Oreochromis niloticus: one gene and its partner. The main gene of each other region encodes a partner of the protein of the gene in region 2 in a complex. Links are inferred from orthologs where the notes say so. Each region holds a gene or a part of one and is shown on either strand. Other genes may lie near its edges. The genes, in order: rac2 and cyba.

Region 1 (16,317 bases), on a different chromosome or scaffold from region 2:
CCTGACACAGTGCACGACTGATCATGTGTACCATGAAGACATGTGCATGTACCTGTAGGAGCCTCACAGAGAGACCGCGAGAGTGTTTATGTCTGTATTTCTGTGTGTGTAGATGTGTGTTTGTAGTACTCACACAGTAGGAATGTACTCTCCAGGGAAGGCATTGGTTGTGTAGCTGATGAGAAGACATGTTTTACCCACAGCTCTGGATAACACAAGTAAAAACACAGAGATGTCAGGAAAGAGACATAGGCAATGACAAAAACCCCCACAAGAGACAGTAAATGTTACTATACTGTATATATATATATATACATATATATATATTGTACAACAGGAGATGATGCAACATGCACGCCTATACACATCAGTCACACTCCAAGTTTAAAGTTTTTCTGGAAGTGCAGTATATTTATTCTGTGAGCAACTCGCCCAGTTCCTTTGTTGACGTCATTGTTCGAAAATACTGTCACGGTCAAAAATAACACATTCAACAAATACAGATTTCATGGACACGCTGACATCTGTAAACAGCGTTTTTGTGTTTCTAATTTGCAGAAAGTCAGTGATCTGTGTTCAGCTTGTCCCAACATCCACAGTGATGAAACTGCATGGCTGCCTGCAAGGTGATCCAGCAAGTATCGACTAGCCTGCTTCTTATTTAGTTTCCACAGATTTGCTGCCAGCATTTTAACAGCAGCACACAGAACTCGAGCCCTGGTTTCACCGCAGCACTCATATTTCATGTTGATTACACTCTGGATACATCTGATTGGTCATAAGCTAATAGGAGTGGCTACAGCCTTTTTGCTTTCATCAAACAGAATTCTGTAGAGTCTCTTATCTGACAGACGGAGATCAGAATCCCTGATTGGATCGGTCTTTATCACACTTATTGATAAATAACCTTTTTTTTGCTTACATAAATAACCAAGCAAATCCAGTCTGCAAGGAACCCATCGGCTCGTCCTTTTTCTCAGTCTGCCTGTGACTCTGTGCCATACAAGACATTTGTGACGTACAAGCGTTTATCAAATAAAGCAGGTTTGTACTGGTCCTCTCGATGGTTTTGCTCAGAACTCTCATATACTCCCACCTTTTACTCAAACCAGATTAACACAATAGAAACATTTTAAAATCCCACAATAAGATTAATACTTTTGTGGAACTTTGAACTATTATCTAGAAGAAATTGAGCTTCCCCCATTGTCTCCCCCCAAAAACTTTTTATGTTTAATATGTAAATCAAATAAAATGTTGGCATATTTCTCTTATACAAAATATTTTTTGGTTATTTTAAGTATTATTATATTGTATATTATTAAAAGTTGTTATACAAAAATATGGAAGGGATGACACATCATCATTATCAACTGACGCTTCCACTGTGGGTACACTTGTTAGCACGTTTCTTTACTTTCATGGCTGCTGTTATAGTACAAGTGTAATGAGTATATATTTTAGTGTTTTTCAGCACAAACATTTGTAATAAACAACAACAACAACAAACTTTTATACTATGTAGCTGGTTAATTTTATTTTTTATTAATTATAAAATCTAAATATGTTCTGACTAGAAAAAAAAGCATGACATAGAAACTACAAAATGACAGTCATTCCAAAAGTTAGCATTTTAAAAAGACCAGCCCTGCTGACGAGATGACTCAGTAGTGATATGAGCAACGCAGATAACAGCTATAAAAGCTGTCAGAGTGCGTGTGAGCATTTCTATCTCTGTGAGGACAAGTCTGAGCTTTAGAGGTCAAGTCTGATGAAATTTTGTCAGTTTGTAACTTTTTCCAAAGGCTCCTGTGGGTTTAAGATTTAGACTCACTGTTAAGGTTAAAACAGGGTTTAGGTCAAATGCAGAGGTTGAGTCAGGGATGTGGGTCACACATTAAATAATGCCATTAAAAGCTCTCATAAGTATAGCATTACATGTGTGTGCTTTGTGGTCGTGTGTGAGTCAAAAAGGAACCGCGCTGTTTCAGAAGCATCGGTTTGAGCTGAAAACAGGAACTAGCCACACCGAGCTATCAAAAAAAAGAAAAAAAGATTTCTGCCTCGCATCTCTCTCTATCTGCTTCATAATCTGCTTTTCCATGAACATGTTTTATCCTATCGTTTTAACCTATTGTGACATTTCATTTCTTTTGGTCCCATCTAAAAAGAATAAAACGTCAATAAATGGTGATGAATGGTTTCAACCAGACTGAGGCCAAATGGTGTCAGTTAGCTAGCTGCATAGCTCTACAGCTGCATGTAAGAAAAAATAAAACTGAGTAAACTTTAATGTCTCAAAGGGGGCTTGACTTTTTTGTTACTCATTAGGTTTACTGTATTTTACAAATAATTATATCTGTAGCTGTATAACTGTTGTGCTTTAGTAGTCGTATAACTGCTAACTCAGCACTCACTTTAGCAGGAGAATTCAATTAAATAAAATTTTATTTATACAGCGTGAAATCAAAACAACAGCTGCCTCAAGGCACTTTATATTGTAAGGTGGACCCTACAATAATACATACAGAGAAAAACCCAGCAATCATGTGGCCCCCTATGAGCAAACACTTTGGTGACAGTGGGAAGGAAAAACTCCCTTTTAACAGGAAGAAACCTCCAGCAGAACCAGGCTCAGGGAGGGGCGGGGCCATCTGCCAGGTGAGAGAAGGAAGACAGGATAAAAGACATGCAAGAGAACGTCTAATATACCCAAGAAGTCCAACTCTCTGCTCGCAAGTCCTTAAAAAAGTCTTATGCAGCCAATATATATGAGTGTATATGTGCAGCAAACAGTTGTGGTAAATTACCTTTCTCTGAGTTTTAGGAATGTGACGGCACCATGAGCCACTTTCTAACATCCGCCATTTTGACTTCAGGCATGAAAACAGCAGCAGCAGACAATTTCCTGACAGAGGTCAGCTTCAACCACCACAACTAGCTACTGCTTATACACCCATGAAAGTTTCAGAAATGTTTATATACACTTGTAGAGGGAAGTGAATATGTATACATATAAGTCCTTAACTGACCTGCCAGCAGATAGCAACAGAATGTTAGCTTTTTCTGAGAAAAAGCAACTTCGCTATAAGAAACACAAAAGACAGAAACTTCATTTTATTTCAGTTCAGGCACATTAATGATGCTTTGTTTGAAACAGTAAGTTAGCTGCCTTCATCTCTACTTTTCAAGGACTATCTTGAAAACCTGTCAGATTATGTACAATACAATTAGCTGTGGTGTGGCTCTCCAAATTTCTTTTCTTTCTAGTGTTAGATTTAATTTAACATTTATAACCTGCTGGCCCATTTACCTTTAAAGTAACCCATTTATTTTGTAAGGTTTTAATGATACAATCATCAGACTGTAGGATGTTCATTAACTTGGCTGCTAATTAAACCATGTGCTTAAATCATTCACATTGTTGTTCAACAACGTCTCCTTTTTTGGAGTTAGTTAAGGAAAATGGATTTTCCAACACAGCTGATGAGCTCTGATTGCATCCTCAGCTCCAAATTCTCTACTTATGCCAAAGATCATCGCAAGTGTCAAGACAGCTTGCAAATTTCTTATTTCATGAAGTTATTTTACTTTTTGCTGAAATGTACTGTGTTTATACTCGAGATAAAAATCTTTAAAACGTAATCAGAGATATGACTGATTGTCTGCTATAATGTCACATGAAGATTTGCCAGTTATTGTTGAGCCAGTGAAGATTTTAAAAGCCTTTTAAATGCTTGTGCTGTTAAACTGTAAATACCACGACTCTTGCAGCGGACTTCCCTACAACATGAAACCGACTTCCTCTTCTCCATCAGCAGTTAAGTTTAACTACTGTGCGTATGTATCTATATATACACTGTTAGCGCCTAGCAGAGGTTAAAAAATGAGAAATCAATGTGAAAATTACCACCACCATCATTAGCTTTCTGGCTGTCACATAAAAATGATACATAGACTTTCAAAAGGGCTGGCTGGGTTATTTGCAATGTATCTTTCAAATATTTCAAAAGGCAACATTTTGAAAACCTTTTCACAATATTTCCTTTTATTCATGTGGCCACAGGTGTAAAACTGGGCACATCTCCAAGCTCTTCTCAATTTTTCTTTTAAAGAGAAAGAATGACTTCCTCCTGCTTGTGTAATCCACTGAAGTGAACCGACTGCCTTTGTCTTGGTGTTGTGTTTTTAATAGAGGTGGACGAATTAATCCAAATATTGATACCAACACAGATATTGGTATCAGATTGATTCAGTGCTTTAAGTTAAGTCTGTAGTCCATTGAATCTGTTAAATAAATTATTTCTTTTGCACATAGCATAATATTCCTTAAACAACATATTAAAAAACGTCTAAACCTTTTTGTGTTGACTGCAAGTCTATTTTATTTATACCCTATAGAACATTCAAACAACAGAAGCTGACCCAAAGTGCTTTTGAGACATGAACATTAAATTCTGGGTCTCTGAAAAACCCAGTTTGAAAATTCATGAGAAACTAAAAGGTGTGTTTTGTTGTTTTATCTAATTATTGTGGAAAGTAAAAATCATTAAAATGTGTTCAGAATTTGCAAATTAATAATGTCCCTAATAATGTCTCATAAGTCGTGACGCACTGCACTTCCCTATATAAACTATTATAGGTTAAAAGTGTGAGTATTGGTATCCGCAGTACTGGCCCTGTATTTACTTGGTATCGTCATATTTGCAGTACTAGTTTGTACACAGCACTAGTTGTAAAGAAACAAGTAATAAAGGTGGAACTGAAATCTAGGTCAAGTTCTGGAGTGGAGTCAAAAGTAATGAAATAAGATCTACAAAAAGTTCAGCTTGTTTACCTCTGCAGTGCTTATTGTAGCAGCTTATATTCACGTCAGAAACTGCGACTTATTATTGCTTATTTTTTTTGCTTTACATGTTTTGTCACTTATTTTTAGTGAACTGTCTTTATTTACTTTAGGACACTTAAATTACATAAAACCTTTTTTAATGGAAGCTTTTGGTTGGCAGCTACTAAAAAACAGCTTCTTAAGAAAAATAACAATACAAGTTATTTAAACAAAACAAGAAATTTATCAAAGTATGAATATGTTGGTTAACATAAAACCTGACTACTGTTGGTTTCCTGTTGACAGCCAACAATTGATGCTTTTTTTGATTAATTATGACTGTTATTTAATTATCTATTTATTCTATATTCTGTAGTAGTCACTGTAACCATTGTCACTTGTCACTGTAACCATAACAATGAAGGTGCCTTCATAAATTCAAATATATATATATATATGTATACATTTGCTCCTTTCATAGAGTTCTCAAGCTGACGCATATTTGAACACTACAAAAAATGTTAGAGAAAACACACAATTATTTTTTTTTTTAATGTCAAATTTTAAATCATGTTTTGCATTTGTTTAAATCACTTGAACTGTTATTTTTCATGTGAGGTCTTTTTAGTAGCTGACAATCAAAGGCTTTCAATAAAAAAAAAGGTTTTATGTAAATGTTGCATGCTAAATGAAATAGAGCCAACACCACATGATTCCCTTTCCAAATATTTACACGCGTCACTGTTACGGCTTCTCTCTCTCTGCAATTTTTTAAATCAGTGTCACACACCAGGAAGCTCTGCACACACACTGCAGTACCTGTGTGCTACCTCTGGATGGTTAACTGTCTGTGTTAAAGTGTTTACTGAACTATTTTTGAGAAACAACTGTAGGACTTCCGCTTTACAATTTCCTTCACTTTGACAGCCAGCCATTTTGCCCCACCTTCAACGAAAGACGCATTTGATGGCAGACGGTGGCTCATCCAAACTTCTTACGCGAGCACATTTCACCCTTTAGGGCAAATAAATTCAACAACTTTTCAGATGTCAAAAACACAATGAGGTTAATCATTTACACATTTGAGCTTCTGCTTCTTTATTGCCTCTTCTTTTTTTAGTCATACTTTTCTCCCACTTTGTTTGTATTTTCTGAACTGATCTTTGTGGCATCTATCGGATTTTCATCTTTGAAGAGGAGTTCTGCTGCCTTAAAGCATTTTCCTGCATGTTGTGGCCTGCATGGCTCATCCAGCGCGCTCAGTGTGAATCACCGCTGTCAAACACACACCTTAAGATCTACATGTTAACACTGGACATAAAACACAAGTACAGAAGTTTCTTTTACGCTTTTACGCTGAACCGAACAGCAATCTTGCTGTAGTGGGTCAAACTGTTGCTCCTACCATGTGACAACCTTTGACAGCTCTATCTGATTACCCTGAAATTCAGAGCCTGGGGCCAATCCCCATTTACACGTCAGCTGGGCGACCACTGTGTAATTCAAAGCTTGAAGGCCTCTTTAATTTATAACACACTGGTTAAAATTAGTAAAATAATAGCATACCCATCTCCCACGACCACACATTTGATAGCCTGCATCCTGTTCCGCTCAGCTTCGTCTGTGCTCTTCACTCTGAAAGAAACAGACTCAGAGAGGAAGGCTGAGAGACGCTGAAGAGCATGCAACTACAGGAAATTGTTGCACACCTCCCTCCCCCTTCTTTTGCTGCCTCTTTTTTTCTTACTCAGCCTCTCTCCCTTCATTTTTGCACTCATCTCCTTCTTCCTGTTTTGTTTTTTTCTTCTTTCAAACAACAGACCTTAAGCTGAAAAGCTACCAATACCAATAAGACACCCATAAAAAAATTAATGTGAAGGGTGTTGAAAAGCAGTCTCGGTTGCAACAGAGAAGAAGCTGTGAAATGGCCACAAAGAGGAAGGTTCTGCTAACAATAAGAGCTTTATTTAAAACTTCCTCTACTGTTGGGCATTTACCATTCAATGCAGACCAGCATGTCCGGAACATACGGAAGCTAAAATTAATTTACCTCAAATTTCATTTTGCTATGAAAAAAAATTGAATTCCGTAAACCTCATTAATTAAAGACATGCACTCACACGCGCGGTTACATTTCCCTTGGTTTACACAACCTGACACTGACTCACATTCACTTCCTGGTGTTTTCTGCAGTATGTGTCTAATGGTGATCTTAAAACAACATTAAACCTTGTTATCACTCCTGGTGCACTCCTGATACTATGAAACACATTTATGTCCTCACAGTGTGAGTGATACAAGTAACCACCTGCAAATAAAAGTTTATTGTCGGTTAACTTCAAGTTATGTGTCTGTAAATTTAAAAGGAACAGCATGGTGGTGCAGTGGTCAGCACTATTGTGTGACAGCAATACGATCCTGGATTTAAATCCAGCTGTGGTCCCTCTGTGTGCATCCTAAATGCTGTCCTAATGTATGCATGGGCACTCCCACCTCTCCTCACAGTCCAAAGACATGCATCTAATCAAGTCAAACTTTACTTTTATAAAGACTTAAAACAACAAGTAATGCACATGAATGCTATACAAAATATACATAAGATAAGATAAGATAAGATAAGATAAGATAAGATAAGATAAGATGACCTTTATTAGTCCCACGTGTGGGAAATTTGTTTTGTTAAAGCAGAAAGTGGACAGTGCAAAAGTTATGAAGCAAAAATTAGAATAAAATAAAATAAGAATAAATACAGAGGACGGTCTGTGTATTCAACCCTACCTCTGGCGCCGGTGCCCACCTCTCAATTTTAAATCCATGTAGACATTGAGGGTTCTCGGGAGGGGCCGTGCTAACACCTGCTGCTCTCTGGCAGCAGCACCATGCCCTCCCTTGTTTTAAATGCACTTTAGAACAACACGCAGCAACACTACACATGAGCGGGAGGAGGGAGGTATGGGGTCTTCACACACCCCCGTTCTCTACTAGCCATCGGGGTGGGGGGCTGGGAGGAGGTGTTGGCTGTCCGATTGGCCTCCCTGCTGCTGCGGAGCCTGGGGCGGTCTGCTTGCCTCCACCCCGGGGAAAAGGGTCACATCTCTTGGGTCTGGGTGCCGTTTCCCCCTCTGGGAGCGAGGGTACCTGGACCCAGGGCATAGAGTATGTTTGGGGAGTATGATTGTGTGTACATGTCTATGTATGTCTGTCCCTACGTTGGGTAAGTGCTGAGTGTTTGTATATGTGTGCATGAGGGTGGGAAAGCATGTTTATGTCTGTGTGTGCCTGTTTGTCTGTGTCTATATGTCAGGTCGGGTCTTAGACTCCACCTCCCTGGGTACTCCCAGGCCCTCCAAGTGTGGAGGCCTATCTCCCCTCACCACACTCCCTGCTGGTAACTGATGCCCTCAGGGGTTGGTGCATTGGTGGTTCTTGGTGTCCGGGGCTGGGCGCTCAGGTATGCACCGGCTCACTCCCGGTGGCTACTTGGCGGGGCCCGATGCCTGTCGCTCGGTCAGGCCTCTTCCGGGGCAAAGGGGGCCCTCGGGCCTCCGGCCTCGGGGCCTGCAACTCGGTTCACTCTGGCACAGCTGGCTGCCGGCAGAGCCGGCGGGCACGCCGGTGCAGCCCCCTCTGGCTTCTGCTCCGTGGCTACTGGGTGACCCCCTCGTCTGGGGATCTCCTCAGCCCTTCCCAGGAAGGTGGCACGGATGCCCCTCCGGTGGTACTCCTTGGGCTCTCACACTCTGGGTCCTCTGGATGTCTGGAGCCTGGATCTCCTCCATGCCTGCTTCATGCCCTGGGGGACGGGGCTATGGCCCTCCGCACCCTCTAGCAGACCGTTACATGGGAAAACCTTTTGTATACAAGCGCGTTGATCCACACAGGTGTGCACACGGGTGTTCACTGTTCGTAGACATAAACTACACCTTTCTTAGCTGCTACTTCAAAGCACATTGTGCGCTGTCTGTCCTGCGTGCTGCACAACAACTTTCAATATTTAGTATTTACTGCTGTTCACACTCAGCTAGATTAACGTGATGGTGTTGTGTTTAGTATGTTGTTTTGTTTTTGTTTGTTTTTTTTTTTTGCTTGTCTTCTCTTCTTTTTCTCTCAACAGGTGATCCAGGAGATTTTTTTTTTCTTTCTCTTTGTCTTTGTAAGTGCCCTTTCTCACTGTCCCTTTTCCCTTCTGTTTTTCTTTTCCTTCCTCTCTTTCTTTCTCCCTTTCCTATCCCCCCGTCATGTCTGTCCCATCTGTAACAACTGAAAATAAAATAAATAATAACAACAAAGTTCGATCAAATGGACCAATACGGCAATGCCATGATGATCCATTTGGCAAAATAAATCCATTTGGTATCCTTGTTGGTCTTCAGACAACAATTCTGACGGCTTAAGAACCAAATGGGACAGACAAAAAAAAAAAAAAAAAAAAAAAAAAAAAAAAAAAAAAAAAAGCAGAAAGTGGACAGTGTAAAGTTACATTGCAAAAATTAGAAAAACACTGGAATAGAATAAGATAATTTCACTAGCTGGGCCCACGTCCTCATTTTAGGTTTGACAGCGTTTTAGTAGGTAAAGGTGAATGCTTTGACATGAATTGAGCTGCGGTTTGGGGAAGGCCTCAAAGGGGACTGGCGATGGCTCCTGGGCCTGGCAGATCTCCATGTACTAAATAGAAGCAAAGAAGTTAAAGAATGGAGCACAAGGAGGGAGGGTGGGGCACGTAAACGAGAATGATCAGCTTGCAGAACTGGGGGAACCTACTGTATATAGATGAGAGCCAGAAGGAGTGTGTTTGGAGGTGTGGTCCTGCTCCTGAGATTCAGATACATAATCTCCAAAAGAATGAGAATAAAAATACTGTACACAATAGAATAGAATAGAATAAAATACTATATACAATAGAATAGAAATAGAATACACATACTATAACTGAGTAAAATACAATGTTGTCAGAAAAAGAGAATTGCACAGCCTGCCACTGAAGGAGCTGCTCAGTGCTGTCAGAGTCTCCTGCATGGGGTGGGAGATGTTGTCTAACAGGGATGAGAGCTTGGTAACCATTCTCCTGTCACTCACCACCTCCACTGGGTCCAGAGGGCATCCTAGAACAGAGCTGGCCCTTCGGATCAGCCTGTTCAGTCTCTTCCTGTCCCCAGCAGAGATGTTGCCAGCCCAGCAGACCACACCGTAAAAGGTGGCTGAGGCCACCACAGAGTCATAGAAGGTCTTCAGGAGTGGGCCCTCCACTCCAAAAGACCTGAGTCTCTACAGCAGGTACAGTCTGCTCTGCCCTTTTCAGTAGAGGGCGTCTGAATTGTAGGTCCAGTCCAATTTATTGTTCAGATGAACACCAAGGTACCTGTAGCTGTCCACAGCCTCAATGTCCATACCTTGAATGTTCAGTGGTTGCAGTGGAGGATGTTTGTGCCTGCGGAAGTCTACCACCAGCTCCTTGGTTTTACTGGCATTGATCTGGAGGTAGTTCTGCTGGCACCAGTCCACAAAGCCATGGGTCAGTTCTCTGTACTCCTTGTCGTCCCCATCAGTGATGAGGCCGACTATTGCAGAGTCAACAGAGAACTTCTGCAGGAAGCACTGGGTGGAGTTGTGGGAGAAGTCTGCAGTGTAGATGGTGAAGAGGAACGGAGCCAGAACCGTTCCCTGTGGGGCCCCCGTACTGCAGACGACCCTGTCCGACACACAGCCCTGATTTCTCACATACTGTGATTGGTCAGTGAGGTAGTCCAGTATCCATGTTGTGAGGTGATGGTCCACTCCTAGGTTCTCCAGCTTGTAACAATACAAATCAACAATAAACATGCCCTGAAATACACAATAAATCATGAACTCTAATAAATTTAAAAAATGCCATCAAATAAAACAATAATAGAAAAAAACAAGACTGTGCTTGCACAATAAAAGCCAGGATGTACGGTACCAACAAGAATAAGTAGGTTTTTATGGGTGTTTTAAAATAATTGGGTTACTGGGCATCTCTAATGTGAAAAGGTAGGTTGTTCCAAAGATTAGGGGCCACGACTAAAAAGGCTCTCTCACCTCCCGTTTTTAAGCCTACATTTAAGAATGTACAAGAGCAGTTGGTTCATAGACCTCATTGATGTAGTTGGGGTGTAGGGCTATAAAAGTTCAGTAGTAGGGTGCAGTAGGTGCAGTTTTATTTACATATATATGTGCTTTATATTGTAAGGTAAAGTCCTTAGAATAATACAAAGAAAACAGAGAAACCCCAAAAATCAGATGGCTCCCCTATAAGCAAGCACACTGGCGACAGTGGGTAGGAAAAACTCCCTTTTAACAGGAAAAAAACTCCAGTGGAACTAGACTTGGGAGGGGCAGCCGTCTGCTGAGAGCGGTTGGGGGTGAGAGGAGGAGGACAGAACAAAGACATGCTATGGAAAAGAGACATATTAATAATAACTAATGATTAAATGTAGAGAGGTGTATAAACACAGAGAGTGAGTGAAGACTGTGGAAGCCCCCAGCAGCCTACGCCTAGTGTAGCATAACTAAGAAAGGATTCAGGGTCACCTGATCCAGCCCAAACTGTATGTTTTATCAAAAAGGAAGGCTTTAGGCCTAGTCTTAAAAGTAGAGACAGTGTCTGTCTTCCAAATCCAAACTGGGATCTGATTCCACAGAAAAAAGGGCCTGAAAGTTTAAGGCTCTGCCTCCCAGTTTACTTTTAGATATCCACAAGATAACCACAAGCCTGACGTCTGAGAGCAAAGTGCTCTATTGCGATGGTGATACTACGAGCTCTTTAAGATAAGATGGGGCCTGATTATTCAAGACCTTGTACGTGATGAGAAGGATTTTAAATTCAATTCTGGATTCAACAGGTACCAAATGAAGAGAAGCCATTATGGGAGAAATACGCTCTCCCTTTCTAGTCCCTGTCAGTATTTCTGCTGAAGCATGTTGGATCATTAGTACATCCTAAGAGTACTATGAGAGAATTATAATAGTCGAGCCTAGAAGTATTAAAAGCATGAACTAGTTTTTCGGCATCACTGTAGTCTTAAAATAAAAAATGGCATTTTGAGGTGGGTCTTGTGATGGTGCAATGCTGTTGTAATCATCCTGTTTCTTTCCTTTCAAAAGACAAGCTGCTGCATTGTGTACAGTTTGCAGGTGATGAAGCAACATGGTTCGTATAGGCAGATATATTTGCAGATCATCTGCAAGGCAAAGAAAGGAGAAGTTCTGCTTTTTAAAAATGGACCCCAAGGCAATCATATATACAGAGAGAGCCCCGAGTTACCCCAAACAGTTAAAAAGCCTGTCATTAAAACCTCTTGAAAGGGTTTTTTTCTGTGTAATGCTGTGCTTGAAACCAGTCTAGATTTTCTCAGAGATACGACCTAAATCAAATTATATATATTTGGATCTATTTGAATCCAATTATATATTTCTATGCTCTTTTACCAAAGTCCGAGAGAAGGACTCTTTGTAATGGGTCTGTACTTCATGTTTATAAGCATTAGATCAACAATACCTGGCCCAAAGATACTGTTTCCAGGAAGCTGTAAGATGACGGCACATGTTGAACTATTTCCATTAAGCAAGACAAAAACACAACTTCACACAACCACGCAAGAAAAACAGCATTTGTGATGTTCATCTACAACCACTAGATGGCACTTTAGCAACAGTTTTTGCTATTGACTGTCACGTTTAAAACTCTGAGCATCTACAGCACAGTTGCTCTTCCTTTATCTGTCACAGTTATTTAAACTATTGTTTTTCTTAAATTTGTTTGACTTCTTACCTCACTTTTTTGAGAAAAACATTATTCAGAATACACATTAACACCTCGCTTTTATAATAGTTATAATGTCAGGTTTAATTATGAAGACTTTATATTCATATGCTCTTTTCTCCTTCTGCTAATGTTCCTTGAATAATTTTACTGCCGTTTCCAAAGTGTGTTTAAACTACTGTAAAACCTCAATTTGTGTATGGTTACCTTGGGAGGATGCAACATGCAAAATTCAACCCGTTAACTACTCGTTGGCTTTTCAACAGTGCAAGCTTTCAGCTGTCAAATCGGCCCGAGAGCGAGAGTACACTGCGTTAAGCAGAGCAGGAAAGCCACACAGCCTTCAAAATAAAAGTATCACATTTTAGTTAAATAAAGTCACCTGTAATTGTGGTCACATTTTCCCGCGGAAAGGTAAATATATTTCTATCAAGCCTTCGTGGCTCACCTCATCATATGATAACATGATAGTAATGCTTTCCAAACTCTTCTCCTGGCTAGTTTTTACAGCCTTGAGGTACAGAAAACACTCGAAGATTCAACTACATATCAGTGGAAGATATCTGCAGATATCTCAGGTCCACAAACCCGTGCAAAAGAAAAAAAAGTAGTTTTTTTCTTTTCTTTTCTTTTTTTTTTACATCTGTGTTTTACCCCGACTCTTTCTCTTAATATGCGTTTAAAAACAAAAATGGACAAGTTGACTTCTTGCATCCTGAAATGAAACATGAAAAAAGACCCTCTTTGATCAAATTAAATCTCTGACAGATTCGTTTATCAACCATTTTATTTTGAAGGGTGACTGTTTGCGGTTTCATGTATGAGTGGTACTGTGACAGATAGGGAAGAGGTGGGGTTGAAAGACAGCATCCACTTCATTCAGCTGTTAATTCACTGTGTGCCAAGGCAGCCTGCGTACCTTGATACATCGACTTTGTTTAGCTGTTTTTGTACTGATTTTTTCCCCCTCTATCCTTGGATATAAATGACTGATTGCCAAATGGGTAAGACTTTTTATTACTGATTTTAATATGTATTTATGTATTTAATATTTACCGAGAACTGAATCGTTTAGATTATTGGTATTTCAATGTAGGTGTAATTTTCAGAGACTGTCACTGGATATTTAAAATTAAAAGGCTCTTTCATGCAATTTACCTTCATAATTGTCTTTTAGTATACTCCTGATGTGTGATACTCTTATTATAAACACACTTGACCTTATGACATGAATTGGATCTTAAAAAGTTACCCAGCTGTTTTATAGAGAAGCTTCAAGTTTCACACTGTCATGTTTCTAACTAAACAGCTGTTATTTGAAGACAAATCATTAGAAATAAATACTGCTATTCCTGGTGCAAACTTTCAGTGCATGCTGAGAACAGCTGGTGGGACGTTTTAGTGATGGGTGTACGCTTCAGCATACACCACTTCTCACTGTTTAACCCTGTGGTCATACATTGTGGGTCTCAGCAGCTGAAATGGGGAAGAGACTCATATTCACATACACGTCACCGACTGTGACATTTAAAAGGAAGTTGCAAAGATCCCTAAACTACTTTAAAACGTAACTTAAAGTCAGCGGTTATTTTTCGGATTGGTAATTTGGTATCTAAATTACATAAACAAAGGCTCCGATGATTTAAGCATGTCAGCTTTGTTGCACAAGATGTGTAAAGGAAGGGTGGGGAAGTGGAAGCGCTGTGGTCACATCATTAACAGCAAACAACATATCTCTGCAGGAAGTATTGGCAGTTAGCAGTCTTTTACCTTTAAATATACTAAAAAAGATTTATTTTCTCTAAGGATAAATGTAAAAAAAAAGGTTTTACACATTCAGTATGGCCTGAATGCTGCTGAGGAACCACAGAGTTCATACACTTTGCTTTGCTTATCATAACATCTCATCATCTATGCTGATGATAAAAATATGTTGCTTTGTTGTTGGTTTTTTTCTTAAAGAAACCTCTCTTCATTTTCTAAAATCTAAAAAACAGGTGTTTAATTTTGTCTTTATCTATGTAAAACACAAATACAGAGAAAATTAAATGGAATTTGCTGAGAGAGGATGTTGGGTAAACCACCAAATGGTATGACGCTTTTGTTAACGATTCATTTTTAAGCCAAACAGGAGGTCAGTGCTCTTTTAAGATGATGCAACTTCGGTGACCTGCAGTGGAGCTGCTTTGCAAACTTATTCTGCTACAAATAAGGCCTCAAAGACAAAATTCAAAGTGCACAAGGAATTAGAAAAAAAAATTGCGCCTTACTAAAAATTGACCGTACCTTGATATTAACCCTGGCCCTGCATATGTGAAGGCGAGTGACACTGGCTATCATTAGACATGTTTCTACTGCAGATGGTGAGTTGGCATGAACATTTATAGAAATGGTAATAGTAACGGTGCCTCTTTTTTGTTTCTGAGGCTGTGCAGTAATGTTTCAATTATGCTCAGTTGTGGGCGTCGGAAAAGGGCTGTTCAGTCCCAAGAGGACCCTCGTACAGTCATGGCTGTGAGAAAGTATAACCTCCGCCTAAGCTGGCCACAGCTTCTACATATTTCTGTCACATTCAAGTTTGTATAATGGAACAGGAGTGAGGCAAATGAATGTGGTTGTTGCATTGCTGTTTATTGTGTGTGTTTATGTGGCAAACTGATGGCCATGTTTGAGTTTAAAACTGATCAGTACTGATCCATACCCAGAGATATTTCAAAGACACTCGGAAGCAGCTGTTTCCAGTGGAGGCGCCTTTTTTCTCCTCCAGAGCCTGGTTTGAAAATTCTCCTACAGGTGCAGACAAAGCTCAAAAGTGTGGGGGCTGCTCTAAAAGGGGCCCTCAAGTTTCCCCAGTGGAAAACAGTCTATCACTACTGTGAAGATGAAGGAAACTCTGGGTCATTAAGATAACTAAGCCCCTGTGATGCAACGACCACATGAGACTGATAATGGAATCTAAAATCATAATACGTTAAAACATTATCGATAACCGAGCAAATTTCCAAATATTATTTTCTTCCTTAGAATTAATGATCATTTTAAAAAAACAATTCATGCTATGGCTCTGTTTCTGTTTAACCGAATGGAAATATGAGAAAACTCTCCATGGATTTGCAAGTGTCTCTGTTTTCGAGAACAATATTCACAGTACTGTTTTGTGGTGACAGAAATCATTCATGAAAAAACCGCAGCACCTGTCTCACATATCTTCCAGAGAAGCCGTCTTCCCTATGTTGTGGTTGTTTTTAACTATACTCCACATTTCCCGTGTGCAAATTATTATTCAAATTATTCAAGAACAGCTCCGTTCTGCGCGTTTGTTTTAGAGTAGATATTGTTGTATTTGAAGAACTTGTTGGTGGAATTAGAATTCCTCAGAATCTGTCATAATTTTGTTCCACTTTTTGTTTAGTTTCCTCAGATTTTACACCAGAAGAGAAGATGGAGATCAAAACCATCACGACATATAAAAAAGACCTTCTGGATGATATCCAGGTAACCTGTATACATATACCAGGCATGTCCAAGGTCCAGTACGGGGGCCAATAACAGCCCTAGGGCAGATTTTATATGGCCCCATGGTCCCACAACCACAAACAGAATTAATAAAGTGTCGTTTGTCTTTTCACCTCATGGTAGCAGCACCAATAAGTCACATTTAAAATGAACCTGAGATGCATCTTCAGCAGATCTTTATGTTATTTTA
Region 2 (16,202 bases):
CAGGGATGACAGCTTAGCCCCCATTCTCCTGTCACTCACCACCTCCACTGGGTCCAGAGGGCATCCTAGAACAGAGCTGGCCCTTCGGATCAGCCTGTTCAGTCTCTTTCTGTCCCCAGCAGAGATGCTGCCTCCCCAGCAGACCACACCATAAAAGATGGCTGAGGCCACCACAGAGTCATAGAAGGTCTTCAGGAGTGGGCCCTCCACTCCAAACGACCTGAGTCTCCGCAGCAGGTACAGCCTGCTCTGCCCTTTCCTGTAGAGGGCGTCTGAGTTATGAGTCCAGTCCAGTTTGTTGTTCAGATGAACACCAAGGTACCTGTAGCTGTCCACAGTCTCAATGTCCATACCTTGGATGTTCAGTGGTTGCAGTGGAGGATGTTTGTGCCTGCGGAAGTCTACCACCAGCTCCTTGGTTTTACTGGCGTTGATCTGGAGGTAGTTCAGCTGGCACCAGTCCACAAAGTCCTGAGTCAGTCCTCTGTACTCCTTGTCATCCCCATCAATGATGAGGCCGACTATTGCAGAGTCATCAGAGAACTTCTGCAGGAAGCACTGGGTGGAGTTGTGGGAGAAGTCTGCAGTGTAGATGGTGAAGAGGAACGGAGCCAGAACCGTTCCCTGTGGGGCCCCCGTACTGCAGACGACCCTGTCCGACACACAGCCCTGAGTCCTCACATACTGCGGTCGGTCGGTGAGGTAGTCCAAAATCCAGGTAGTGAGGTGATGGTCCACTCCTGAGTTCTCCAGCTTGTCCTTCAGAACCGACGGAAGAATGGTGTTAAAGGCACTGGAGAAATCAAAGAACATGATTCTCACAGTGCTCCCAGCGGTCTCCAGGTGAACGAGGGAACGGTGCATGAGGTGAATGACGGCATCATCCGCTCCAATGCCAGGCTGGTAGGCAAACTGAAGTGGGTCCAGTGATGAGCTCACAAGGCGCCGAAGCTGAGCCAGGACCAGCCGCTCCAGGGTCTTCATCAGGTGGGATGTCAGAGCCACCGGCCTGTAGCTGTTGAGGTCCTTGGGGCGTGAAGTCTTTGGCACTGGGACAACACAGGAGGTTTTCCAGAGCTGTGGGACTCGTCCCAGCCTCAGGCTCAGGTTGAAGAGGTGCTCCATCACACCACACAGTTGGTCCGCGCAGGACCTGACGACCCTCGAGCTGATGCCATCTGGACCCGCTGCCTTCTTGCCATTAATCCTCCTCAGTTCCCTCCTAACCTGGGTGGATGAGAGAGACAGGCTGGAGCCTTGTGTTGGTTGTGTATTGGATGCTGTTGATGGGGGTGGGGAGGAGTGAGCAGGGTGAATAGAGGAGGTGTGAAGTGTCTGAGGTGTCAGAGGTGGAACAGCAGCAGTGGGGGAGGGTGAGTCTGCAGCCGATGTTGGAGACTGCCTCATGGCTGAATCAAATCTGTTGAAGAAATGATTCAGTTCATTTGCCCACCTCACATCCCTCCCAGGCAGAGAGTTCTGATGTTTGTGGCCTGAGATGGTTCTGAGGCCTCTCCAGACTTCACCGACGTTATTTTGCTGCAGCTGGTTCTCCATCTTCTGCCTGTAGCTGTCCTTCCCATTCCTTATCAGTCCCCTCAGCTCTCTCTGCACCCTTTTCAACTCCTCTTTGTCTTTGGATTTGAAGGCCCTCCTCTTCTGCTTGAGGACGGCTTTAATTTCTGGGGTAATCCAAGGTTTGTTATTGGAGAAACACCGTACAGTCCTGGTAGGTACGGTGTTATCCACACAGAAATTAATATAGTCCGTAATGCATGTAGTAAGGCTGTCGATGTCCTCTCCGTGGTCGTCACAGATCACCTCCCACACAGTCGACTCAAAACAATCCTTAAGAGCCTCCTCGCTCTCCTGCGACCATCTCTGCACTGTGCGGGTGACTGGTGGCTCCCTGCGCACTAAGGGCTCATACACAGGGACAAGGTGCACCAGGTTGTGATCAGATCTGCCCAGGGGAGGGAGAGGTGATGAACTGTATGCCTCTTCAGCATTGGCATACAGTAAGTCCAGTGTTTTATTGTGTCTGGTTGGGCAGGTCACATACTGGGTGAAGGTGGGCAGTGTGGAGTCCAGTGAGGCATGATTGAAGTCCCCTGATATTATGAGGAGGGCTCTCGGAGATTGTGTTTGCAGTCTGCTGACCACTGAGTGGAGAGTGTCACAGGCTGCATCCGCGTTGGCCGAGGGGGGGACGTACGCTGTTATCGCGATAACATGCGAGAATTCCCGGGGCAGGTAGTATGGACGCATGCTAACAGCTAACAGCTCAATGTCTCTGCTGCAGAGTTGTTCTTTCACAGTGATGTGCCCAGGGTTACACCATCTGTCATTCACAAACACTGCCAGTCCCCCTCCTTTCCTCTTACCGCTGTCTCTTGTCCTGTCCGCTCGCAGCAGCTGGAATCCCGGTAGTGTCACACTCGTGTCCGGAGTTAGCGGTGTTAGCCACGACTCCGTTAGCATCATGATGCTACATTGCCGGTACTCCCTCTGTGACCAGGTTAGCGACGTTAGCTCATCCATTTTATTGGGCAAAGATCTTACATTTCCAATAATTACAGAAGGAAGAGATGGTCGATAACGTCTCCTTCTCGGGCGACGGCGCTCCTTCCCAGCACGACACCCCCGTCTTTTCCTCCTCAACTCGCTGGGAATGTCGGGTCTGTCCGCCGGCAGTACTGCAGCGGGACGCAGCGCTAACAGCTGATCCTTACTGTAAACAAAGGATCCCTGCTCTGGGTCTCCACACACGGGTGAAAAAAGTAGAAAAAAACTAAGAAAAACGACCAGAACTAGCACAAAACGGTAGTGCATGGTTGCAGAGTCTAATTACTAATACGTTAGTTATAGAAAAATTATGAGAAGAAAAGATAAGAAAAGATAAGAAAGAAAGAAACTCAGAATGAGCAGAGCTGCTGTAACAGGCTGCCGCACACGGGGGGCGCCGGAAGACCTGTAACTGAATTTCATACGAGTTGGACACAAGTTATTTTTACATTTGTTTACTCACGTGTTTCTATAGATTTTCCACATTTATTTGATCATTTAAAAAAAATGAACATTACAATTAAGCTCAGTTGTTTATAATTTCTTTTAAATAATTTCAAAAATAACAAATGAATCATCGAAATTTATTTTAAAACTAGTCTTACTGTGCCTTTGAATCAACATCTCATGCAGCACAAGTTCTCACTGCAGTCTGTTTGTAGTTCTCTCGTCGAACAGGAGGTGGCAAAATTAACCTACTTTTTAAACAAGACAGACAACTTTTCTATCCGCATAAAAAAAGTGAAAATACGAAGATTTAAGGACATTAATTTGAATATGAATCATATTGTCTTGATGATTATTTAAAAAAACGATCATATACAACACATAAATTAAAAATGCCTCTTTTAAATATATCAAATGCTGTACATTGGTGTTAGGCCCCAAACTAAAAAGAAGAAGCACAACTGTACTACTGTGGTTTCCACAGAGAATCCACAAAACCCATGGATTATCATCTGACAGTATGCATTATTCATAAGCAGATGTCTATTTATAGCGATAACCAGCTGCCTGACAGGTCAGCTGTGACACACACACACACACAAAGTTGAGCAGTAACAAAAGACAATACATGCAGAACTTGTCTGACAACCAGCACCTAAACCTAATGAATGATCCTAAGATTTTTTTTTCCATTGTAAGCTAACAATTGATGGCAATGTGACAAAAATACAGAAGAAACAGCTGAGACAAGAAAGGGAAACTCTGACATATTGAAATTGTGTACGTTTGCGAAATGGGGAAGTTGCATTGCTTAAAATAATTTACCAGAGAAACCTTGTAGAATGCAGATTTAAAGAACACGCCTACGACACATAATGAGTCAAAGGATAAAAAGAGTTTATTTACAACACATTGAAAACGCGAACAAAAAGTTTAATAAATGGCTTAATATCAGCCAGATACAGTCAAAAACAGCAGATCCATTTATTCCTATTAAACAGCATTGGAATCAGCTGCTTTTTAAGAAATACGTAAAGGGTTAAGAACACAGTGTAACTATTGTGGATGCAGAGCAACTTAAAACAAATTGACAATAATTGCTAGCGGATGACACTTAGTAGCTACAGTGTTTACATTTATATTCTGTTGTCTGATTTTTCTTTCTTCATTGAACAAATTATTTCCTTCATTTATTCCTCACATTTTTCTCCAAGTTGAGGTAAGGAGGTGTGTGTCTAACTTGTTGCCCGGTCAATTGAAACACTAAACTTTAGAAAAACTTTGTTCATCCAGAGCTCCAACTGTAACTGGTTATGGATTGAAACTATACTGGTTATTCATCATCAGTAACAGACATGGGGTTGTCATAGGCTGATTTTTCAAGATCGCCTGCTTGTTTCCTGCGCATCTCTGGAGGAGGTCTTGGTGGTGGATTCTGAGGAGGATTCTTGATGCTCTCTCCAACTGGTTTTCGGATCTCCTTCCGTGGAAGAATGGGCTCCCAATGCTCGCCTCGTATAGCGGCCTACAAAGCAAGAAGATGACAAATCAACAATGACTGGCTTGTGCATGATTAAGTTAAGCATGACTGAAAGTTACTGTACTGTTACTGAAAATCAGGAAGATTATTATTACTGGTTCTTATCTTTGACTCTCACAGTAGTTTAGAGAATGTAAAAATAAACAGTGCAACCTCAAAAGCTTCAAAATCCACAAAGGTGTAGAGGAATTCAGTCACACCCCTAACTGTTCAGATTTCATAACTACACGGCCATCTTTCAACAGAGGTGCCAGTAACGAAACAACCTCTTCCTTGTTGCTATTTCCTTGTTTCCACCAACTGGCTAGTTCCTGCTTCAGTTAACAACTTTATCAAAAAGTTATTTAACTTGCTGGACAGAAGAAAAATAAATAGGTTAAAAAGCTGCAAACTTACTGCAAGGTAGATGAGGCTGGCAATGCCAAGGCAGACACATCCAAGAACAGTGGCAAGCATAAAACCTCCAGGTACACAGATACTGAGGATAAAAACAATCAAAAACAAAAACAAATGGATTTTGAAGACAAAAGACTAAAGAAAACAAGTCATAATCCTTGACTAATCGACAGTGACAGGAATGCTGTTTGGCAAAGACTGTGGCTGAGATAATGAACTCACGCAGCATGTAAAAATGCCCTGACATAGTAGTTCCTGGTGAGTGGTCCAAAGGCTTTTACACACACAGTGAAGCAGTACTGGCCCCTGAGAGAAATTAAGACACAATGATGAGCGACTTAGAACTTGTCCATTAAAGTCCAGCGCACATCCAAACGAACAGTGTTTGCTTACGTTCTCTCCACGCTCGTGCCCTTGGCCCTCTTGCTTCTGGGATACTCAAGTAGACACACAAACACCCCGGCAGCACTAGTTATCTGTCAAGGTGTTTTCTTTAAAATAATGTTCTTTATTTGCATGCAAAGTGTCACACAGACACAAAAACAGAAACAATATATCATCATCAGTAAACACAGTGCAGTAACTAAACCGGACCAAAAGAAGTCAGATAAGAATGCTCACTGAGATAAGTCTGAGAAGTGAAATTGAGATAAACACTGGTGACGCTGAGCAGGTTCAGCAGGCAAAGACAACAATGAATGAGAGGATTGTTCCTAATACAAAAGAGAATATCTCCATTATTTCATAAGAATAGCTACTGAGGGAGAAAAGAAAGTACTTTCCCATGTTGTATTTTTGCCATTATTGAATAAAAAGAAATAACGTTCTTGCATGTCAGTGTGAACATTGCTAAGCACAGCGTCGGTTAAATCCATAACACTAGAACATTTGGTCAGGTTTGATGTTAACTTGCTGCATAGTTGTGCTTAACATACTGTGTGATGCATCATAAACATTTGACGGTCATTGTATTAATAACACTTGTTCAACTACTTGTCAATAAAAACACCAATTCAGTCACTTATGAGGCAGGAACAAAATGCATTTTGACATATAATAATTTAAATAAGCCTTAGAGAGAAAGAAAATTCACCCAATGAGCTGCGAAAACACTTCCTGATGATAAAGATAGGAGAGGGATAGCTGCACTGATCGAGCAGCAATGCAATAAAAACTAAAATCACATGTTGTGTAGAGGAGGATCTCTGAGCACAAAATCTGTCAAAAAAAGCAAATGGTCATCAGCAGCTTTAGACCTAAGCTAAGAAAAGGAAACAGAGCCCACAATGGGCATGCTTGGTTGGAAAACAATGTTGCCTGGTTGATTGGCAATGACCCTCTTTCTGCAGCATTCAGATGGTGGGGTCAAAATTTGGCGTAGCAATTGAAGAATCGTTACTGTTTCAGTATAATTTGAATGTAACAGCCTTTCTGAGTATTGTTGATAAGCATATGTGTCCCTCCATGACTACACTGTAAATGCTCATTTCACTTGGGCAGTGCACTACGCAGTCTCAGACTGGTTTCTTGAACTTAAAATGGCCTCCACAATCACCACACCTCAATCCTACAGAGTCTGTTTAAGGTGTAGTGGAGGACAGATGAATCACATCACCTGTTCTATCACGTCAATACAGACTAGAATACCAAAGGCTCTAGTATTAGCTGTGTAGCCTATAATGTATTTACATGTTATAAGTATTTGAACTTCCTGTATGCATTAAATTACTGGTAAAATAAACAAAAACAAAAAACCCCAAGAACAAAAAAACCCCCACAAATAAAATCCTATTTAGCATGTTATTATTTCTACAACATAGAAAAGGCTTAATAAGCCAAAATTCAGACACAATAAAAAATACAACAGAAAATAAAGGATACACTGCATAAGCAGCAAACTGCCACCCTCTGAACTGTCCAGCAACGCCTACGATCCCTCCTGTGAGGAGAACTGAAAGAAGAAAACAGGAAGATAAGATTTAAAAAATACACTCCTGCAGACTGCACACACAGAGGTGGTAAACTGTGCTTTATTATGCTGTCAGAAATACTCTGTAAATGAACTAGACAAGAGGCTAAAAGTACCGCTCATGTAACCGAATAAGACAATAAGAAACGTGCTAAATACCCCCCCTCCATAATAATAAAGTTTTCATACTCACTTAGACCCGACGCCAAAGCCTGCTCATTAGCCCACATCGCCCACTCAATCTTCCCCATTATGTTAACCTAACAGCAGCTCTGCAGCCTCCTGGAGCTCCTCCGGCGTGGATTACCGACGGTGATAATGGTTTCTACAAGGAAGAAAAATGTATTTACGAGATTTGAGGGGTGCAGGTGGGCAGGTCAGAGGGCGAGGCTTGTTCTGCCTTAGCCAATCCCTATTTCAAGCGTCATTTCCGAAAAAATGCAGCGCTACAGCGAAAGAGGAAGAACCGAAAACTCCTGCCAGGTAACACAAGGAAAAGAAAGACCGGCTTTATCGCAAGATATACACACTCTGATTGTTGACTGTGGCGGTGATTGTTAGGTTACCGGAATTTGTCAAAGATTTTTTTTTTCTTTTCCATTATTTGCTGTCCTTTCTGCTGCTTCTTTACCAGAATTATGAGTTAATCTTTTAAAGTTCTGAGATTGAATAGATAATTATTTTCTCATCTGGATGAGAATCAGATGATGGAATGACAAAAATCATAAACAACAAATGAAATCTTGACCAAAATATATTTTATTGTGTGCCATAAAATTGACATGAATTAAATATGCACTGTTGGTCGGAAATGGTGATTAACAAGAAGAAACAAGAAAACTGTACACACAATAATTCGATCAGACAGAACAATGGGTCAGCTCTGGGCTCCAGTCTGATCTGTATTTATGACTCAGTGCATTGCTCACTGCAAGAGTTTCCACTTATTTACGACCAGAGAGTCAAGGCAGTATCAGTGTTTACCTGCAGATACACAGAAATGATTAAAGCTATGAAAGAGCACAAAGGAGTAATGATGTTAAGAAAAGAGACCAAACAGGACAGTTAAAAATTTAAAGGGAGATGTATCATCTTCTGCTGTTGTGAGGAAGGTGTCTGGTATTGCTGCGATAAAAGTTATATGCAACTAAGTCACATTGGCTTTCCTATTGCTCAGTAGAACTCGCTGCAGGAGGAAATCACATCATTTTCTTGGGAAAACCATCAGATGAAAGCAGCTGCTGAGTGGGATCCTCTACAACACACGGGCCTGGTCCAACCTTGAAGGCAATACAAGAAGATGAAACGACAGATTAATTATATGTTTCATGAGCTTTAAATTTTTACATTTATTCTTGCCTCTAGGAAACATTAGCTTTTCAAATGAAGCACTCACTGGTCAAAGATTCAGATAACTCTTGTGCTCTTTCAGTGCCCTAGTTAAATGGAACAATGCAAGACAATGTTTCGTAACAGCATGTTGAAAGGTTTTGTAAAGACACATCTGACCCTTCGTGCAATCCTACAGCAGACACATCACTGCAGTCTTGTGCAGTTAAGATGGATCAAGACATTCAAATCTAAAACCTCTGTATCTTTTAGCTTCTGTTTAAAGTAAGCCTATAATACAAAGTTGGAGTAATTGCTTGTGCGGGTAAATATGAGTGAATACCTTAGTACTAATTATGTAGTTTATTCCCTTTGGCATGGGTTCCAGACCAATACCTTGCTTCAGCTCCTCAGAAAGAGAAGCACAGTTGACTGGAAGACCCTTAATAAAGCTGCAGAGAAGAAAGAAGCACTTAATGACACATTTTAAAAGAGACTGAAGGTCAATATTAATAAGCAAAAGTACAAAAGTAAAACATTACACAGATGCAAGATTAAGTCCTTTGTGGATGTCCATTTAGCAGCATTTGCAGGTTCAGATCTTCATAGACATTTCTCTAGATTTATTTTTCTAGGCAGGCTGTTTCTAGCTCAAGCTATTTCTGTGTTTTCAGGTTGCATGCAATTTGAAGCAGGTTATCTTCATGATCCCTTTCTGAATTCTTACATCCCTCCATCTTCATGTCCCTTCTTTGGAGAAATACCCCAATAGTATGCAAGCACCCTGATTCACTTGCTTTCAGCAAGATAATAAGCAGTGCCTGGTATTAGCCAGAAATAGTGTTCTGTCCAGGGAGTTAAGTGTGTGGATCATTGTACCAGTGAGTTGGGTGTCGTTCCAGCAGGTTTTCAAAACTTGAGGACCTCTGAAGATCAGTCAGAGCAGTCTCACTGAATAAGACCCTTCTTGTTTGATCACTTATTTTGGTTAGATGGCAAGGTAACTTCTGGTAAATACCTTTTAGACATGTTAATCTACTGAGTACACTGCACTTTTGGGAACACTCAAAACCTCAGAAATGGTGTTCTTGACCACAGTTTTATGGTCAGTTTGTAGAGAGTTTCCTGGACTTCGGGCCTTAATGCAATATGATTTGTTAGACTTTCTTTACGGGCACATGCCTTGGTAAACTGTGCTTAAATCATTTAGCTTTCCACAGTCATGTTGTAAACATGTGTCAAAGATAATTAAAGCAAACAGGATGCACCTGACCAAAATGTTGAATGCAACAGCAAAGGGTTTAAACACTCTGGTAACGACTGATTTCAGTTCTTGATTTTTAACAAACCAAAAGAAGTTTCACTTTCACAGATTTCAGAGTAGGTTAATGGGCAAAAGGTCTCATTTATCAGTTTTAGATTACATGAAAAGACCTAATACTTTCCACTGTATATATCTATATTTGCATTTAAATGTTGATTTTTCAGGATTAATTAATTGCTATGGAAGGATTTTAAAGGTAATGAGCTTAACATCCTTCAACTTACTCTGCTCCGTTGGTTTCTGGGGGAAAGAAATGTTGAACCACGTGCACAAACTCAGGAACATGCTGCTGTAAAGTGAAGATCACAGCATTGGGCCCTGCATCAAAAGTGTAGGCTACCTGTAAAGATAATAAACAGAATGTGACTATTGCAGAAGGAAGAAGATTTTCCTGTCCATGAGGAAATGTAAGTTTTCTTTATTTCAGTGAAAGCGTGGTATGGTGTTAAGTGATGGACTGGCAACGTGTCCACTGTTAAACTAAACTCTCGCTTTGGGGTCCTTAGGGACTAGTAAGGCGTTATACAAATACAGGCCATTTACCATATATCAGCTGGGACAGGCACCTGTGACCCCAAGTTGGATGAGTGGTTAAGAAAAATCAATTTCATGGAAAAACAATAAAATAAAATGTAATTAAGTGAATGGAAATACAAATATGTATAAAGGAATAAAGTTCCTGCTCAGATATTTCTCCCATAACACCACTGTAAAAGCTGCTCACCCTCGTCTCCCCGTAATGCTTGTTGTAACGATGGACCAAGCTGATGATCTGTTGTGAAACATGATTGAGGTAGAAGATAGGGGGGTACGTGTCGAGGCAGGTGGCATGAAACTGGTTACTATCCTTCATGGTTAGTTCAGCAAATGCAGCAAAGTCCTTTTTTCGTATTGCTTCAGTCATCTCTACCATCCGGCCCGGGACGACAGATTCAGCGCGGTGCTAACCCAGACGCACACAGACACAGGTATGACAGTCAGAAATGTGTTGTATTAGTGAGTTGGGTTTAAATAAAATGCCAATCGATATACATTAAAATTCTGACATTTGCAGTATAGGGTGAACAAACCTTTAATAGGCAGCTTGTTTTTACACTGGTTTGCATTCCAGAGGTGCTGCCAACTGGCTTCCGCTCTGCACTGGCCTGTGACAGAAGTGCATCAAATCGATGTAACTTTTGCATTCCTGCATTTGTAAAAGCGCAAATTCATCAGCATTATTTACACTTATTTAGTGTCACTCTCCTATACCCACAATCAGACCTACCACTAGTACGAGGATTCTGAGCTCAGGCCAGTGAGTCTCTGGCTCCACCTGCTGGGCTAAACTGTCCTTCCCATCCTCTTTGTTTCCCATGATCCACTGGACGAAACCTCCATACATGCTCCGGCATGCGCTGCCTGAGCCTTGACGAGCAATCCCAGACAACTCTCCTTCTACTCCAAACACCCGAGCCAGAGTGTAAACTGCACCACAGAACATTCGGGAAAAAAAGACACTGGGACTAAGTGAAGCAATATCAACTATAAGAAAGATGGAGAAGGAGATGTTAGCAAAAGTGAATTATAGCACAGACAAGCTCACCCAGGCAAGCAAATCCAGCTGCTGAAGAGGCGAGTCCAGCAGCAGTGGGGAAATTGTTAACTGAGCAAATGTGGACTTTGTGTGACAAACTAGCTGAATCCACGCCAGAGTCTCCGTCATTACGCCTTTTCCGTGCCAATCGTCGAACTAAGTATAAAGCAAAAAAAAAAAGAAAGAAGAAAACTACATTGTAGTATGCACTCCTTTCTGTCTGCTGTATTTTACAAATATAATGCACAACACTCACTCTCCCTCAGACAGGACTGCAGTCTGGGATGGGTTATGTCCTCCTCTTTACCATTGAGCCATATTCGATCCTCCTGAAATGATCTGCTGGTTGCAACTGTAGTGGTTGTTTTCAGCTAAACAGAAAAAAGGAAGCTACGTCTGTATCAAGCTGCATTTACAGTGGTGTGCAAAAATCTTGAACCAACCCTCCCTTTTTTCTGTTTCCAAGAAGCCAGACCTTTTTGTAGTTTTTTAAGAGTGCTCGTGAGCAATAGTTCTCCAGGAATTCTGAAGTTCTTTCAAAGTTTTACTTTGGACACTGGATGCTTTTATACACATTTTCAGTCCAGTCCTTGTATCTGACCACTTTTAGAGAGATCTGTTTTTGTTTATTAAGCCACTTAAAACCGATCTATCAATCACTCAAGCATAAAAAAGGCACCTAACTCAAGGGATGAACCAGTGTTATGTCCATACATAACAGACAAATTAGCCAAACCAATTTTAAATTGTATCTTTAAGAACTTTGTTACTAACAGCCAGTTCCAAAACATTTTCCTTATTTCTTTAGGTAAAGGTACATAAAATATAAAAAATTATCTTTGCACCAACAAGATGATTCCCAAAGCGTTATTTGCCAAAAGCATATCTCATCATGGGTGTGCAGTGTGTTCTTCAAAAAGGACCAAAGAACTGACAGAACTTGACAGAGAACAGAACAAAAAAGCAGCAAACATGCAAAGAAGAGAAAAAGAGAAACTAGAGAAATACTGGTGCTGTATGTAGTAGTGTATGTTATTACTAATATAACATAATGTCCAACGTGAACCCTGGAGACATGTGAAAAGCACAAAACACAGTGTATGTCTGTGTATCCCAGTTTAACGGGACAGTGCAAAAGTGATGTTATTTGTCTGTAATCTGAGTAACAGAGAATTTCTTCCACAGAGTCACAATACTTTTTTCCCCAATATTCTTTTAGTAGAATATCTAATAGATGTTGACAGGTAAAGTTTAATATAGCTGTGTTCACACTACAAATAATACTAAAACACCAGATAAATATTTAAAGTTTGGCTGGCAATCCTAATCCTAACAGTAATGTTATGTAATAATATTCTCTTAACAGTCTATTTTATAGAGACTTTGGCTCCATTAAGTGAACTCTTACAGCCACAGCAACAGTTATTCTGCAGCTCTGGACAGGGACACACGACGAAATGAGAAAACATAGAGAAAGCTGAGTGGGTTTTTTTACAGACACAGGCTTCGTGAGGATTTCGTTTTAATTAACATACCTGGTCTTGATGCAATGTGACGCTCAAAGATGAGTTAATGGGTAGAATTAAGTCTTCATTTCTCTTGCCCCCTGAAAAGTAAGAAGGCTTTAACACGGAGTGCACAACCGAGGTGTCATCAGCCTGATATTAGGATACAATATAAATAGACTCGAGAGTAATTCAGACCTTTAATAACCAATATTCAGTCAGACTTAAACACACAGGCACTGTCGATTCAGTTTCCCTTGAGTCCAAATGATACAACCATAACAAAACAATGCTAACTCAAACACAAGTCGAGGTGATACTTACAGTATTTAATGACAGCTATATTCACTGGAGCGGTACATGTAACTATATGTGGCTGCTCAGTTCTTTCCTCCGGCATGGCTCTGCATATAAACCAATAATAAGACTACCTGAATGTTTTAAAAACACACTGTACAACACCTCTCCCCGAGTTTAGCACTCTCAGCGTGGCTGCCTGCACCTTACTGTAGCGTTTCCTAGCAGACTCACCCGATTGGTTAGTGATGAACATGTGACTAACCCGAGCACCAATTAGAGTCGGACTGAGTGTACTGAACTCTAAATAGCCAATGGGAAATCATCTGACCACGGTCGTGTGAAAATGAGGCAAGCGTAAGACCAACCCAGACCCCTATCGTCGGTGTTAAGGTTTATTCAACTCAACGCAATTTTATATATGAATTATAAATCTTAATAACTGCTCAGAGACAGAAAATTAGTATTGTGAAATAGAGAAAAGCTGCAGCATCCAGTGCTGAAAAGGTACTCAGTTATTGTATTTGACACGTAATGAACAACTTAGGTACATTAAATGCTTTCTTATATTGTACATCAATATTGGTACCGATACCGATAAAAGTAGTTCTGTCAGTATGGTGACTACAGTGACTTCGGACAGACTTTCCTAGAGATTTAGTAAAGTATATTAATATAAAACACATTTCCCCATCATGCATTTTATTTCAAAAGTAGTTGGATACATTTGGCAGTCTGTTAACTCCTGCTTCTGAAATTAAAGTCAAAATGTGAACTTATTTATAAAGCAAAAAAAGTCCAGAATCAATCATCCACCTCATCCATAGACTGACAGTCTACCTTTGTATGGTGGGGATGTTACTGTGTATTGATGTTGTGATATTTGATGTTCAAGTCAGTGGAATACAATTTGTGTTAAATTCTAACTGGAAACTTAAAAAAAAGATTTAACACTCATTTAAATGATGAAGGACAGTTTTAGAAACAGTCCACTAATAAGGAACAAATATTTCAATTTAAGGCTCATTTAACTTATATGTGAACCCTGAAGGTACACATCAGCAACAAGAACCCTAGAATAACATCTAATGGGATAGTAGCCCTAGATTGCAATTACAGAGTAGACCATATAAAATGCATTAACATCTGTATGTTCTGCATTTTAACTAGTTTCTAATGTTTGAAGAAAATGCATGAACCATGGTGAAAATAAAGGAAACTACTGAGAAGGACTAGGAGAGTCAAACAGTGTCATGAGCTGTCAGATAAGCAGTAGAAATTTGTAGCATCTTGATTGAAGAGTTTACAAAAGAAAATGTTATTTGACATTGTGTTGAACAATCCCGCCAAATGCTGCAATATCAAATGTCCTTGTTTTCCATCTTGGTTGGTAGTTTCCAAAGACACACAGAAGCTAGTGTGGCATCTCAGGGTTTAGCTAACAGGAACACACTAGTCAGCGATCCTGTCAGAGTCCCAGCAAAGCATGTCAACTGCTCCCGATTTGGTTGCTCATTCCAGAGCTCCTGTTGAAAGTTAATAGTCGTCCTCATCATCCGAGTCCATCACCCTCCGTCTGTTGAACTGTCAGGTAAAGTATATTAGAAATGTAATACAAATAAATTACAGGGAAAAAAATCAAATGTATGTGACATTTCAGAGAAACTTACTGTAACAGTTGTCTTTTTTTCTGTCTGTTGACTGACTTTTTCTAGGATCTCGATCAAGCCTGATTCTGTAATCTGACAAAAGTGGAAATGAGTTTATTTCTTTGCTGGCATTATACAAGAATCAATATGTTGTGCTAGAACTATTCAAAGTTAAAGTCATCTGAGAAAAAAAAAAGAAAGAGTTTTGACAGGAATGCATAGTGAAAAACAAAGTAGACTCTTGCTGCTTCCTCAGGAACTGAGGAGGACTTAAATGATCGTCAGCAAGTGTGACCACCTCTGAAAGCAGAGGTTTTGGCACCTTGCTGGTCTGGAGCATCCAGGTGTGTTAAGAAATTGCCACCATCTGTCCAGTAAATTCACTCCAAGGTTAGACTGTGTCACAGTCTAGACCTCAACCTGATTGAAATCCTGTGCATAAATGAATGCGCACAAACCCAAAGCAACTGTAGAAACATTGTAAACAAGTGTGGGGGTGAAATTGCTAAATAAAGTTGTGAGAAAATGATTTCTACAAGATACAGAATGGTGGGCTGTATCTAGTTTTTCCAAAGGATCGCAGAGTGCGCTGTGAAAACTTTTTCCCCATGTCTGTACTTTCTTACCTTTCCTCCCAGCTTTCCAAAACGAGCCATTTGAATGAGATAGTTTTCAACAGCATTTGCCTTTTCTGGCTTCACCAAGGCAAGATTGCTCACTAAAAAAATAAAATACAATGAGACGGCACTATTAATTTCCAAAGAGGAGTTTTATTAAGATGAAGGATAAATATGAAACCACACTTACATCTCGCACGGGCAGACTGGTCTAGAACTTGAGCCAATATGGAGTTCCTCATTTCTGTTTCTCTGTAATTAGAAAACGATTACATTGGTCAACTGAGACCAGCTAAAAGAAAACAAAAGATACTGCTTAGCTTCTATATAAATGTAGTAAGAATACTAGGTTGGTCAGCTACACTGAAAGTTTTATTATACATGTCAAAACTTTCAGTGCTGGCTCACAGGGGGTCATCTAATTGTTGAGATTTCTCCGTATTGATGTAATGGCTCTTTACCTTACAATATTAAGCACCTTGAGGTGACTGTTGTTGTGACTTGGTGCTATATAAATAAGACTGAATTAAATAGGTATACATACACACACACATACATATATATTTATTCAGTTGAAGTTATATATACACATTTCTGCTGTATGGAAATATTTTCATTCAGTTACAAAAACAGTGTGATACTTAAGTTATAGAACAGTTAGTCTTAATAGATTCATGTTGTTTAAAACAAAGTTTTTTAAAGTACTTTCTAAAGAAATAATACATGCACAAATGTTCTTTCAAGTCCCCCCCCCAAAAAAAAACCCCCAGTCCTTTATGCAAGTACAAGTACTGTATACAGGAAAAACTCAGTCAAAGTAGTTTCTTTTTAGATAAATTACACATCGTACCTTTGTTTGGCCTCCTCTGCTTGCTGATTATTACCTTCCTGGAAGTTTACAGGACAGCACCATTAATTACAGATTTTATTTATACATTCAGCTAACTGGCAGACATTTTATTTTATTCCATCAATAAAACAGTACTTT

The links.
Region 1: cyba (region 2) and rac2 share a complex: the UniProt entries of both Homo sapiens proteins name them as parts of the phagocyte NADPH oxidase complex. The link is inferred for Oreochromis niloticus from reciprocal best matches to the Homo sapiens genes CYBA and RAC2.

The regions. Positions count from the first base shown.
Region 1 is NC_031971.2:8,476,875-8,493,191, reverse strand, and holds the start of rac2 (ras-related C3 botulinum toxin substrate 2), read right to left. Parts: upstream 6,550-16,317; 5' UTR 6,430-6,549; coding exon 6,395-6,429; intron 206-6,394; coding exon 134-205; intron 1-133. Other genes in the region: cyth4b (cytohesin 4b), read left to right, coding at 13,597-13,615, 16,024-16,106. UniProt on the Homo sapiens protein: Plasma membrane-associated small GTPase which cycles between an active GTP-bound and inactive GDP-bound state.
Region 2 is NC_031965.2:23,052,738-23,068,939, reverse strand, and holds cyba (cytochrome b-245 light chain), read right to left. Parts: upstream 7,321-16,202; 5' UTR 7,169-7,320; coding exon 7,111-7,168; intron 6,900-7,110; coding exon 6,830-6,899; intron 5,417-6,829; coding exon 5,342-5,416; intron 5,255-5,341; coding exon 5,171-5,254; intron 5,031-5,170; coding exon 4,949-5,030; intron 4,538-4,948; coding exon 4,346-4,537; 3' UTR 3,888-4,345; downstream 1-3,887. Other genes in the region: mvda (diphosphomevalonate decarboxylase), read right to left, coding at 8,117-8,197, 8,590-8,698, 9,795-9,910, 10,295-10,513, 10,641-10,715, 10,838-11,037, 11,156-11,302, 11,403-11,517 and 2 more; pdcd5 (programmed cell death protein 5), read right to left, coding at 14,485-14,532, 14,619-14,690, 15,224-15,315, 15,405-15,466, 16,065-16,102. UniProt on the Homo sapiens protein: Subunit of NADPH oxidase complexes that is required for the NADPH oxidase activity that generates, in various cell types, superoxide from molecular oxygen utilizing NADPH as an electron donor.